Linked DNA regions of Macaca mulatta. The protein of the gene in region 2 purifies or fractionates together with the protein of the main gene of each other region. This does not show direct contact. Links are inferred from orthologs where the notes say so. Each region holds a gene or a part of one and is shown on either strand. Other genes may lie near its edges.

Evidence for each region. Proteins that work in one complex are often made in the same cells at the same time.
Region 1: the proteins of SAE1 (region 2) and SUMO3 purify together in Homo sapiens (affinity purification with mass spectrometry; 3 studies listed by BioGRID and IntAct, with this or other methods). This does not show direct contact. The link is inferred for Macaca mulatta from reciprocal best matches to the Homo sapiens genes SAE1 and SUMO3.

The regions. Positions count from the first base shown.
Region 1 is NC_133408.1:2,710,957-2,717,306, reverse strand, and holds part of SUMO3 (small ubiquitin-related modifier 3), read right to left. Parts: intron 3,731-6,350; coding exon 3,602-3,730; intron 1-3,601. UniProt on the Homo sapiens protein: Ubiquitin-like protein which can be covalently attached to target lysines either as a monomer or as a lysine-linked polymer. Does not seem to be involved in protein degradation and may function as an antagonist of ubiquitin in the degradation process.
Region 2 is NC_133424.1:59,609,080-59,615,529, reverse strand, and holds the start of SAE1 (SUMO-activating enzyme subunit 1), read right to left. Parts: upstream 4,069-6,450; 5' UTR 3,967-4,068; coding exon 3,869-3,966; exon of another isoform or gene 3,785-3,868; intron 1-3,784. UniProt on the Homo sapiens protein: The heterodimer acts as an E1 ligase for SUMO1, SUMO2, SUMO3, and probably SUMO4. It mediates ATP-dependent activation of SUMO proteins followed by formation of a thioester bond between a SUMO protein and a conserved active site cysteine residue on UBA2/SAE2.

The sequences.
Region 1 (6,350 bases), on a different chromosome or scaffold from region 2:
GGGCAGCCGGAAAGAGAGCACGCAGCCTTTCTGTGTCCTGAGGGAATGGAGAAACGTGGTCGGGGCAGAAACATTTCCTCAACAAGCAGTTCTGATTCAACTGAAACAGGACAGACGGCGTTAAAACGTGCATCTCTGCTCCCTCCTGAAACCCCACTGAAATGACGTAAATGAGAAAGGCACAAACAGCAAGGACAAAGAAAATGGCGGCAGGGATGGGCAGAGATGTCAATGCTGGGCTGCGCCAGAGGCTACTGAGGCGTGGACACTGGTGGTCTGATGGACACTGGATTAGGATCCTGGGAAGGAGGGACTGGGCACACCCCAGCCTGTGTGGCAGGCAGCCTATTCTGAACAGCTGCCTGGAAGTTCACATGCAGACTTTAGCAGGACCCCCACAACCCTGTGCCTCCCACGGCAGCACACAGGAGGTCTGCTTTCTGAAGAGGTGGGTGCAGGGCTCCAGGCGTAGGACGAAAACAGGCCCATGGAAGCGCGTGCCCCCAGCGCTGCGCGCCAAGTCCCCTCTCCCCTCCAGATGTGCCCCCAGGAGGCTGGCCGGAGACTGGAGGACTCAACTCTCAGCTTAGCATCTGGGTGCCTCCAGAACCCACAATCCAGACATGTCACTCCAGGGATACACAGCCCTGGCAGCACAGCCATCCATGTACATGGCTTCTCACCAGCTTCTCAGTGCTCCATGCTTGCACAGAAGTCAGCCTGCATGACAGCAGTCAGGGTAAGGCTCACTGTGCAGCAGCCCGGAGAGGAGAGGAGGGGAGGAGCACAGAGAACGGACAGGAAGGAGGCAGGAGAACGCTCCCAACACAGGCCCACACACGCACACACCCCCACACATACACACACATGCACAAAGACATGGACATACACACCACACACACCTACACTCACAATTCAAGTTCTATGGGAAGTAAAAAATAATACTACCTTCAGAAAACAATCAATTGCTACTGAGGAGGGGTATGGTGGCTCACACCTGTAATCCCACACTTTGGGAGACACAAGCAGGAGGGTCGCTTGAGCCCAGGAATTCGAGACCAACCTGGACCACATAGGGAGACCCCATCTCCACAAAATAAAAAAATTAGCCAGGTGTGGTGGCATGTACCTGTAGTCCCACCTACTCAGGAAGCTGAGGTGGGTGGATCAATTGAGCCCCAGAGGTCAAGGCTGCAGTGAACCATGATCACACCACTGTGCTCCAGCTTGGGGAACAGAGCGAGACCGTGTCTCAAAAAAAATAAATCAACTGCTACTGAGAAAAAAAAAACACTCAAAGAACAGAAAGAGAAAAGAACTTTTGGAAATTAAAAATCATGACAGAGATGAGAATGTCCACAGAAAGTGGAAAGATAAAGTTGAAATGACCTCCCGGAAAGGAGACCAACAGCGATAATAAAGCCCAAAGCAAAATGGGAGAAAAATTATCAAATGTAAACTAGGACAATTAGCAGCAGGAACTCCAAAAGAGGGACCAGAGTGTGGAGAAGGACACAAATTATCAAAGAACTGACATAGGGCATATTTCTTGAATAAAAATAAATGTCCAGACCCATAAAGTACCCAGCAGCATGAGTGATAAAATCACACACCTCTGAGGCACATAAGGGAACACTGGAATGCCAGAATATGGTCCCAGATACTTCCAGAGAAAAACCAAGTTACAAACAAAGCACAGAGAATCAGAATCCACTGAACTTCTCACTTTTTTTTTTTTTTTCCTTTGAGACAGGGTCTTGCTCTGTCACCCAGGCTGCAGCAGTGATACGACCTCAGCTCCCTGCAGCCTCCACCTCCGAGGCTCAAACAATCCTCCCACCTCAGCCTCCTGAGTAGCTGGGACTGCAGGCTTGCACCACCACACCTGGCTAATTTTTTTAATGTTTCGTAGAGAGAGGGTCTCCCTGTGTTGCCCAGGCTGGTCTTGAACTCCTGACCTCAGATGATCCTCCCACATCAGCCTCCCAAAGTGCTGGGATTACAGGCATAAACTACCATGCCTGGTAAACTTTTCACTTTCAACATTGGGAGCTATTCTCATGGCTGATCTCTGAAAGAAAAAAAAAAAAAAAAGAGTTTCAACCAAGAATACTGCGTGCAGCCACATACTGAAGTGTGAAAGTTTATAAAAGCAAAAGTCACGTTCAGCCATGCAGTGTCTCAAAGACGCTACCCTTCTCTGCCTGTTCCGAGAAGACCCTGGAGGATGTGCTCCACCACAAAACACAAAAGGGAGGAGGACTAATCCAGGAAACACCAAGAGAGAACCTCTAGGATTTGAACAGGAGGCCCGGGACCACGGCTGAGCAGCCAGCCTCACAAGCAGCAGTGCAGGTGGGGCAGGAGGGGAGCCCTGGAAGAGCAGGGGGAAGGGCAGAGCCCCCACCACATGTACACGGCCCCACACGCCTGCCATCCCACAGTGCAGAGGAGAATGTGGCCACCAGCCCAGGCAGCATAAACTCCGACAAGGGCCAGGGTCCAGCACCAGGCAGAGGCTGGATCATGGGGCCTGCATGGCACCAGGCCACTCACTCTGCTGGGAAGACCGAAGCCTGCGTGTCTGGAAGCTCAGTCTCACCTTTCGCAGGTGAAAATAAGATCTGCCATCAGCAAACACGAAGAAAGGAAGTCAGAGGGTCTGCTTGTCAATAAAGAGTGCAAGGTGGTCACCAGTGACGCCCCTCTGAGCAGGGTATCCAAAGTGAGAGGGAAAGAGGAGGAAATCTAACTGAAAATCCACAGGCAAAAGAGTAAAATAAAAGGGCAACGAGTTGCTGTATTTTCAGAGCAGCTGAAGAAAAGCAGCCTCTAGGTCCCACTCAGGCAAGCAGGGCTCCCTGGGGAAAGGCACCTGGCTGCAGGGCCGGGCCCCAGACAAGCCAGACAGCAGCTGGCGGGCAAAGCCCATAGCAGTGGCCTAGAGAGGGACCCCCTGGCCCAGGGTGAGTCCTCCACAGCATTACCAAGAACAACAGACACACACACACACATCAAGTCACACACAGCAGCCGGAAGGCGTCCACCCAGCTGGGCACTGCCAGTGAGGCAGCTCACTATCCTGAAACTGAGGAAGCAGGGGAACGAATCACAAGCTTTCTTGCCTTTCCTAACAAAATGGAAAACCACACTGCAGATGAGGGCAGTGTTTCTTCAGGGCCACGCCAGCTCATACGTGAGGACGGGGTGACAGCAGCATGGGGCACATGCCACCTGCAGCCCCAGAATGGCCAGATCTGAGCAGGGCCCCCCAGAGCCTTCAGCGTCACAGACTTCACAGATGTTAGTACCCCATGGAGAACACAGCACCCTGGGCAGCCGCCTTATCAGGAAGAAAAACCCACCACATTTCTCTGAGCCTCTAGGTCCCTCCACCTCATAAAAGGCCATGGGGGACACAGTCAGCAAGCCCAGCCTAGGCCAGGTTTACAGCACAAGCCCCCGCCTGCCCATCCATGAAGAGGGCACCTCGAGTGGCTACATCTGGATCCAGCCCTGACACTCGTGCTCTGGGGATGCCTGGTGCACACAGGACCAGCGCGCACACAGGGAAGCCCCGTGGGGGAGCGAGGCGCCGCACCTGCCTCTCGCAGTAGGCCTTCATCAGCTTGCTCAGTGGCGTGTGCCTCTTGATCTTGAACTGCACCACGGAGCCGTCCTGCCCGGCCACCTTCAGGTTGATGTGGTCGTTCTCTGTCTTCACGCCCTCCTGCAGAAGACACCGGAGACTGGCCTAAAAACTGTATCTCAAAATTACCACGACTTGAAAGGGCAAGTCTTTAGGTAATTGTTGCCTTTCTAAAGTCATTAAAACCAACCTAATTCTTAAAATTCTCCAGCAATTCAGAGTCACTCGTGATGGTTTTATTTTTACACAGAATTTATTTTTAACTTCCACTTGTTAAGAATCCATGTGTAAAACAATGCAAGTCTACGGTCCTCTGATATTGTTAATTCAAAGAAAAAACCTTGTTTAGTAAGTCTAGGGAAAAATCAGAGAAAATCCATCTTTATTTTAAAGTTATTCTTGTAGGCTGGGCACGGTGGCTCACACCTGTTATTCCAGCACTTTGGGAAGCTGACATGGAAGGATGGCTTGAGCCCAGGAGTTTGAGACCAGCCTGGGCAACATAGCAAGACCCCATCTCTTTTTTAAAAAAATTCTTATGAAATCAGTAAAAACACATATCCAAAACTCACACAGCTATATAGCATTAGTGAAAGAAACCAAAATCAGAAGAAAACATTTGTGACTCAGAGAAACCCTGTGGGACATTCAAGTGGTAACTTCTGGAATCCAACTGAGGACGGCCACTTCCCACAGCAGGCAGCCAGCCTCCTTCTTGCTGCCCTGACATCAGCAAATGTGAGGGAAGCCACCTCCGAGTACTTTCTTTTTTTTTTTTTTTTTTTGAGACGGAGTCTCGCTCTGTCGCCCAGGCTGGAGTGCAGTGGCCAGATCTCAGCTCACTGCAAGCTCTGCCTCCCGGGTTTACGCCATTCTCCTGCCTCAGCCTCCCGAGTAGCTGGGACTACAGGCGCCCGCCACCTCGCCCGGCTAGTTTTTTGTATTTTTAGTAGAGACGGGGTTTCACCATGTTAGCCAGGATGGTCTCGATCTCCTGACCTTGTGATCCGCCCGTCTCGGCCTCCCAAAGTGCTGGGATTACAGGCTTGAGCCACCGCGCCCGGCCCCGAGTACTTTCTAGTTTCAAATTGTCCCATCTGAGCGGCAGTAGGTGGGACTTTTTACTTTTTAATTCATGCCATGCCTGAAGCTACTCAACAATGGCACAACTGGGGTGTCTTGTTGCCTGAAAATGCATTTGGAGTTGTGGCCGGCCTGCACTGCTGGGATAAATTCGTTTGTGAGTGAAGCAATGAGGCAGGGCCCTCCAGCTCACTCTGAAAGTCAAGTCTGGAGCATCCTGGTACCCTTTCCCCCCATGCTGAGCTGCTGCCTGCAAGGAGCACTGTACGTTACATGCCTTTTCTCTCCACTTCTCCTTACCTTCCCTGGCTGGGAGAGGGACAACTGTCCCAGCGATGCCTAAATACAGGGAGTGGGATGTAGAAGGCTCGCCTGAGGGTGAACCCGGGGACTGCCCCCATGCTTGGTTCCTGGAGACCCTGGGGAGGTACGGTGCTCTGTCAAGGGAACTAGAGTGGCCGGCAAGGGGCCCTGGCAGTGAGGGGCTCCAGCTGCGAACCTGAAGGTGCGTGTCCTGGGCCAGCACTCACTCCCCAACTCCAGTCTTGGGTCAGACACCCTTGCCCACTCCCGGGACGCCGGTGGCTTGGCAGCAGCCTGAGTGGTGAGCTGGCACACCCCCATCCCCCCATCCCAAATGTGGCCTCCAGCGCAGGGAAAACTGGCCTAGGAAGGAAGAGCATGCAAACAGTTCCAGGCGGGATGGAAGTGGGGACCCCTGCATGAGCCCCCTTCACTTCCCCAAGCATGAGGATGCACTGGCTTCTTTAGGCAAGGAAGATATGAGTGTGTTCAAAGGCACAGATGCAGGGCCCACACATGTCCCCACAGGGTAATGGCTGCAGCCCCAGGAGAGGCTGGGGCAGGGCAGGGCCGGCCACAGTGCCTCTGCTCCAAACAGACAGACACCAGCAATGTCGGTCTGTCCCAGACCCCTGGTAAATTCCTAATAAGCAAGTGAACTCGTGAGTTAAAAAATGAAGCCCTAAAAACATGGGCCTCAGTTTGCTAGTCAATCCTCCGCCTCAGCTATCCAGGGAAGTCAGAACATTCTCCTGCCTGACCCAAAAGCTCTTCTTTCCAGCACCACTGGGCCCCAGAGTCCACTTCTTCCCCTTCCTCAGAGCCCCACAGGGTAGAGCTGCTCCCACATGGGCTCAGAGGAGAACCACCAGGAGCAGGGCCTGTGAGGTGGCAGCCACTCAATCATTCTGGAATTCAACAAGTGTTTTCAACGGAATTGGAGCCTGAGGTTGACCACATGGCAGAGCTAAGTGTAAACACTGCTGAGAAAATGAGTATCATACATATTTTATTACATGTACTCTTCATTAAGAGGAAGCCACCTACGAAAACATAAAGAAAGGACATTTATATTTGGCCTAGTTTTAACAAGTATTTAAATATTCAAACAACCCCTGAGTGGGAGAACTTTGACTTCACTGGAGTCAAAATGTAAAAAGCGAAGGTCACTCCAAATGCCATCTGGATAGGGGAGGTTTCCTTGGAGTCTGACCACAGCAAGCAGAGTGCAGACTTCCAGAGGCCGCAACCATGGTTCCGGACGGTTCCATCCCAGTTTCCACCAGTGTCTGGCACTGAGCCTCCACCCTCATCT
Region 2 (6,450 bases):
CTTCAAACAAAACTATCTACTGCCACAAACCCCTTCGATTAACCCTTCCAGGACTTTAGAATCCCCTCCTCAACCCTTTAGGACCTCATAACACCCCAAGCTTCCTCAAAGTTTCCTCCAACTCACATAAAACCTCTTTCCACTCCATCCAGAAAATAGCAGTCCCTAAAATCAATGCAGCCCACCTATGTCCACAGGCATATTCGCATCACTTAATTCCCAATCTATTCCAGGTGGCTTCAACCTTCCCACCAATGTTAATGCCTCATGATGACATCCCCGACCTCATCAAAGACCCCACAGATCTGAAATGAGCCTGAGGTAATTCCCATCCCACCACTGCACACTCCAAAACCTCCTGAAAGCTCCCACCCCCTCAAACTAAATTCTCCTGACGTGTCGGCTTCCCCAACCCCTCCATTAATTCTATACACTGTACTCACACAATGCCCACCATCACCCAAATTTTACCTCTGAACTCAACCCCTCACGTATTTCTACTTAGTTGTATAAAAAAACAAATCTGGGCAGGGCATGGTGGCTCACGCCTGTAATCCCAGCACTTTGGGAGATCGAGGCAGGTGGATCACAAGGTCAGGAGATCGAGACCATCCTGGCTAACACAGTGAAACCCCGTCTCTACTAAAAATACAAACAAACAAAAAAGCCAAGCATGGTGGCGGGCGCCTGTAGTCCCGGCTACTCGGGAGGCTGAGGCAGAAGAATGGCGTGAACCTGGGAGACGGAGCTTGCAGTGCGCCAAGATCATGCCACTGCACTCCAGCCTGGGCTACAGCGAGACTCCGTCTCAAAAAAAAAAAAAAAAATCTGAAACCTAAAAGAGAACTGACTTTTCCCTGACCCCACCAAACCTACAGCTCCCCATATCTTTCAAAATGGCAATTCCATCATTCCAGGTGCTCAAGCCAAAAACAGTGGTGTCATACTGGATTTCTGTCCCAAATCCTGTTCCCTCTTCTACCTTCAAAACATATATATATCCAGAATATATATATATTTGACCTCTTCTCTTGAGTTTCAAGCTACCAATATTTTTGTCTCAACTAGATTACTGCAACAGTCCAGCCAGAATCTTTTTCATTTCTGCCAGGAATGGAAACACAAACCAGGCCAGGTGCAGTGGCTCACGCCTGTAATGCCAGCACTTTAGGAGGCCAAGGCAGGCGGATCACGAGGTCAGGAGATGGAGACCATCCTGGCTAACACAGTGAAACCCTGTCTCTACTAAAAATACACAAGATTAGCCGGGTGTGGTGGCAGGTGCCTATAGTCCCAGCCACTCAGGAGGTTGAGGCAGGAGAATCGCTTGAACCTGGCAGGCGGTGGTTGCAGTGAGCCAAGACTGAGCCATTGCACTCCAGCCTGGGTGACAGAGCGAGACTCCATCTCAAAACAAAAACAAACAAACAAAACAAAACAAAACAACCCACAGATCATGTTATTCCCACACTCAAAACACTCCAACAGGTTTTCCCCACACACTTAGAATAAAAGCTACTCAACTCATTTGGTTCTTGCCACCTTATTTCTCTAATTTGACGATCATGCCTGGGCCTCTGGGAATTTGCACTTGCTGTTCTCTCTGCTAGGAAAGTTCTCCTAGATGATCACAAGGCTTTTTCCCTTCTTAAGAGGCTCAATGTTACCTCTTCAGAGCCCTTTCCCAGCCAACCTATCAAAACAACCCTCCCACTTCACCATCCTTTAATGACTGACACATATGTACACATTTGTGGAATTTTTTTTTTTTTTTTTTTGAGACAGGGCCTCCTCACTCTGTCACCCAGGCTGGGGTGTAGTGGCGCGACCATGGCTTACTGCAACCTCCGCCTCCTGGGGGCTCAGGTGATGCTCCCACCTCAACCTCCAGACTAGCTGGGACTATAAACTCATGCCGCCATGCCTGGCTAATTTTTGTATTTTTGTAGAGACTGGGTTTGGCAACGTTACCCAGGCTGGTCTCAAACTCCTGGACTCAAGAGATCCCCTCCCCCCAACTCAGCCTCCCAAAGTGCTGGGATTACAGGTGTGAGCCACTGCGTCCCGGCTAAGTAAAAATATTGATCGGTGAGGCCAGGCATGGTGGCTCAGGCCTGTAGTCCCAGCATTTTAGGAGTCTGAGCTGGGGGGAGATCTCTTGAGGCCAAGGATCGCTTGAGCTTGGAAGTTCAAGACCAGTCTGGGCAACGTGGCAAAACCCCATCTTACAAAAATATATATATAAATATTAGTCGGGGCCGGGCGCGGTGGCTCAAGCCTGTAATCCCAGTACTTTGGGAGGCCGAGATGGGCGGATCACGAGGTCAGGAGATCGAGACCATCCTGGCTAACACGGTGAAACCCCGTCTCTACTAAAAAATACAAAAAAAAACTAGCCAGGCGAGGTGGCGGGTGCCTGTAGTCCCAGCTACTCGGGAGGCTGAGGCAGGAGAATGGCGTGAACCCGGGAGGCGGAGCTTGCAGTGAGCTGAGATCCGGCCACTGCACTCCAGCCGGGGCGACAGAGCGAGACTCCGTCTCAAAAAAAAAAAATAAAAAATAAATAAATAAATAAATAAATAAATATTAGTCGGATGATGTGGTGGGGTGCGCCTGTAGTTCCAGCTACTTGGGAGGCTTAAGAGGGAATATCACTTGAGACTTGGAGGTCGAGGCTACAGTGAACTGTGATCCCATCACTGCACTCCAGCCTGGGCGACAAAGAGGAGAAAAAAAAAAAAAAAAGAAAAAAAAGCCGGGCACAGTGGCTCAAGTCTGTAATCCCATCACTTTGGGAGGCAGTGGCGGGCAGATCACTTGAGGTCCGGAGTTCCAGACCAGCCTGGCCAACATGGTGAAAACCTGTCTCTACTAAAAATACAAAAATTAGCCGGGTGTGGTGGCGTGAGCCTGTAATCCCAGCATTCGGGAGGCCGAGGCGGGTGGATCAGTTGAGGTCAGCAGTTCGAGACCAGTCCGGTCAACATGGCGAAACCCCATGTCTACTAAAAATACAAAAATTAGCCGGGCGTGGTGGCGGGCCCCTATAATCCCAGCTACTCGGGAGGCTGAGGCAGGAGAATCGCTTGAATCCGGGAGGCGGAGCTTGCAGTGAGCTGAGATCGCGCCACTGCACTCCAGCCTGGGCGACAAGGGAGAGACTCCGTCGAAAAAGAAAAGAAAAGAAAAGAAAACCCCATCCCTAAGCTACTCCACAATGCCCAAACTATGTCTCCTGTCTTACCAAGGCACAGCCCCGTACCAGACACAAGCAACCTTTTCGGGAGCCTACTGCCGTCCCCCTCCAGACTCTCCGAGCCTCTCAAGAGTTCCATTTGACATAACTTGCTCCAAAACTCCTCAAAACCCGCATTCTTTCAGCCTGGCCCGCCCCTGAGCACCCACAAGAATGTAAGCTCCCGTCGGCCCGGTTGGCCAGTCCAGTCTCCCCCGTATCCAGCACGGAACCGGGTCCCACACCATCGAATGAATGAACTATGTCCTTCACCTCACCCCTTCCACGTACCCCAGCCCCTCTTATCCCCTAACCGCGACCTAAATCCCACAATCACCGCTTTCGGGCCTCGGATTTCCTGAGTTTGAATTCTCCCGCTCCCTCAGGACTCCCCAATCAGAGCCCCCTTCAGAGCTCCCATCCTTCGGAACGGCTCTCCCAACCACTTCCCAGACCTTCCAGAAACATCCCCAATCAACTCCTCTAGTTCCCTCAGGAGCGAGACGATCCCGGGGCACATAATTCCCGCCTCCTCCCTTCAAATCACACCTTCCCGCTCCTTCCGGGCCGCAAACGCCTCAGACTAGACGCCCCCTCCAGACCCTCGGCGCCTCAAGCCGCGCCGGCGCTGACCGTTTCTGGGCCTCCAGTCCCCACAGGCGGATCTGCCGGTCATACTGCGCCGCCTCCTCCTCGCTGATGCCGCCGCCAGCCTCCTCCTTCTCCACCATGGCGCCGGCTCTTCCTGCCTCAGCTCACGTCCCGCTCACGCCAACCGCCCGCCAGCCCCGCGCGCCACCAACCTCCGCCGGCAGCACACCCGGGGTGCTTCTGCGCGTGCGCAGACCCCCTCCCACGCCTGCGCAGTACCTCGTCCAAGGAGCCTGGGACCAAAAGTACCTCACGAGACTCAAAGGCGATCCGGCAACTGCATGTCACGTGACGGAGGGTCCAACCAATCCTAGCCCCAAAAATGGCGCCGGTTAAGGCCCCGAGGGCGTTGCCCACGTGGTCACTTATGAGGCGCTTAAATTCTGCAAATATTTAAGGCGTGCATACTGAGATCCCAGCAATAGGGATGTTGTAAAATAGGGTATTGAGTAAAATCGACAAAGCCCTGTCCTCATGGAGTTTACGATCCAGTGAGAAAAACCCAAAGAGAAATAAATATAAACCCAGCGATGACAAATGCTTTGGAGAAAAATAAAGCAGGACATGGGGCTACAGAGTAACAGGGGTGGTCAGGGAAGGCTTATCAGAGGTGACATTGAACTGTCAATTTTCTTTTTTTTTTTCATACAGATGAGGTCCCGATGTGTTGCCAAGGCTGGTCTCGAAATCCTGGTCTCAAGCTATCCTCCCGCCTCTGCCTCCCAAAGTGCTGGGATTACAGGCATCAGCCACTGTTCCCAGGCTTTCATGTCCCTACTATGCGTTGCACTTTGTGCCCAGCCCTGGACATACAATAATAATAAAAAATGGACACATCTCTGCTTTGGAGGCAGTCACGGCCCAGTGGGAGAGAGAAGCATTAAGAAAACAGGAATAGGCCAGGCGCGGTGACTCACGCCTGTAATCTCAGCACTTCGGAGGGCCGAGGCAGGCAGATTAGTTGAGATCAGGAGTTCGAGAGCAGCCTAGCTAACATGGCGAAATCCCGTCTGTACTAAAAATAAAAAAAAAAAAAAAACAGCAGAGCATGGTGGCTCACACCTGTAGTCCCAGCTACTTGGGAGGCTGAGGCAGGAGAATCGCTTGAACCCAGGAGTTGGAGCTTGTAGTGAGCCAAGATCATGTCAGCACTCCAGCCTGAGATAGAGCGAGACTCGGTCTCAAAAAAATAAATAAATAAAACAAAAATAACAGAAAAGAAAACACGGATGGCCCCAGGTGGGCAATATAGTGAAACGCCATCTCTATTCAAAATGCAAAAATTAGCTTGGTGTGGTGGCACTGAGCCTATAGTCCCAGCCACGTGGGAGGCTGAGGTGGGAGGATTTCTGATGTTAGAATCATAGGCTTTTTAGCAGGGCACAGTGGCTCATGCCTGTAATCCCAGCACTTTCGGAGGCTGAGGAGGGCAGATCACGAGGTCAGGAGTTTGAGACCAGCCTGGCCAAGATGGTGAAACCCCCTCACTACTAACAATACAAAAATTAGCCGGGTGTGGTGGCATGCCCATAGTCTCAGCCAATTGCCAGGCCGAGGCCGGAGAATTGTTTGAACTGGGAGGCAGAGGTTGCAGTGAACCAAGATCCTGCTACTGCACTTCAGTGTGGGCGACAGAGACTCTCAGCTCAAAAAAAAAAAAAAAAGCCACCACGCCCATCTATTTTTTTTTTTTTTTGAGACAAGAGTCTCTGTCGCCCACACTGAAGTGCAGTGGCGCAATCTCCACTCACTACAAGCTCCACCTCCCAGGTTCACGCCATTCTCCTGCCTCAGCCTCCTGTGTAGCTGGGACTACAGGCGCCTGCCACCATGCCGGGCTAATTTTTTAGTGAAGACCAGGTTTCACCGTGTTAGCCAGGATGGTCTCGATGTCCTGACCTCATGATCCGCCCATCTCGGCCTCCCAAAGTGCTGGGATTACAGGCTTGAGCCACCGTACCGGGCCTAATTTTTGTATTTTTAGTAGAGACAGGGTTTCACCATGGTGGCCAGGCTGATCTCGAACTCCTGACATCAAGTGATCCACCCACCTTGGCCTCCCAAAGTGCTGGGATTACAGGCGCGAGCCACCACACCTGGCGGAATCATGTATTTTTATTTAAGAATTGGCATCTGGCGTGGTGGCTCACGCCTGTAATCCCACCTAAGCACTTTAGAAGACTGAGGTAGGAGAATCACTTGAGACCAGGAGTTCAAGACCAGCCTGGGCAACATGACAAGACCCCTGTCTCTACAAAAAAAAAAAAAAAAAAATTTTATTAGCTGGGTGTGGTGGCGCATGCCTGTAGTCCCAGCTACTTGGGAGGCTAAGGTGGAAGAATCCTTGAGCCCAGGCGTTGGAGGCTCCAATGAGGTATGATGGCACCACTGCACTCCAGCCTGGACAACAGACCTTGTCTCAAAAAAAAAACAAAAGGTGCCTAAGATGTTTTTCAGATCCTGAATTCCAGCAGAACAGCTGATGCCAACCAGTGTGAAGACCCCAGAGAGGAACCAAATTGACAGGAGAATAGAGTTTCTTCAACTCCCTGTTTCATTACTTC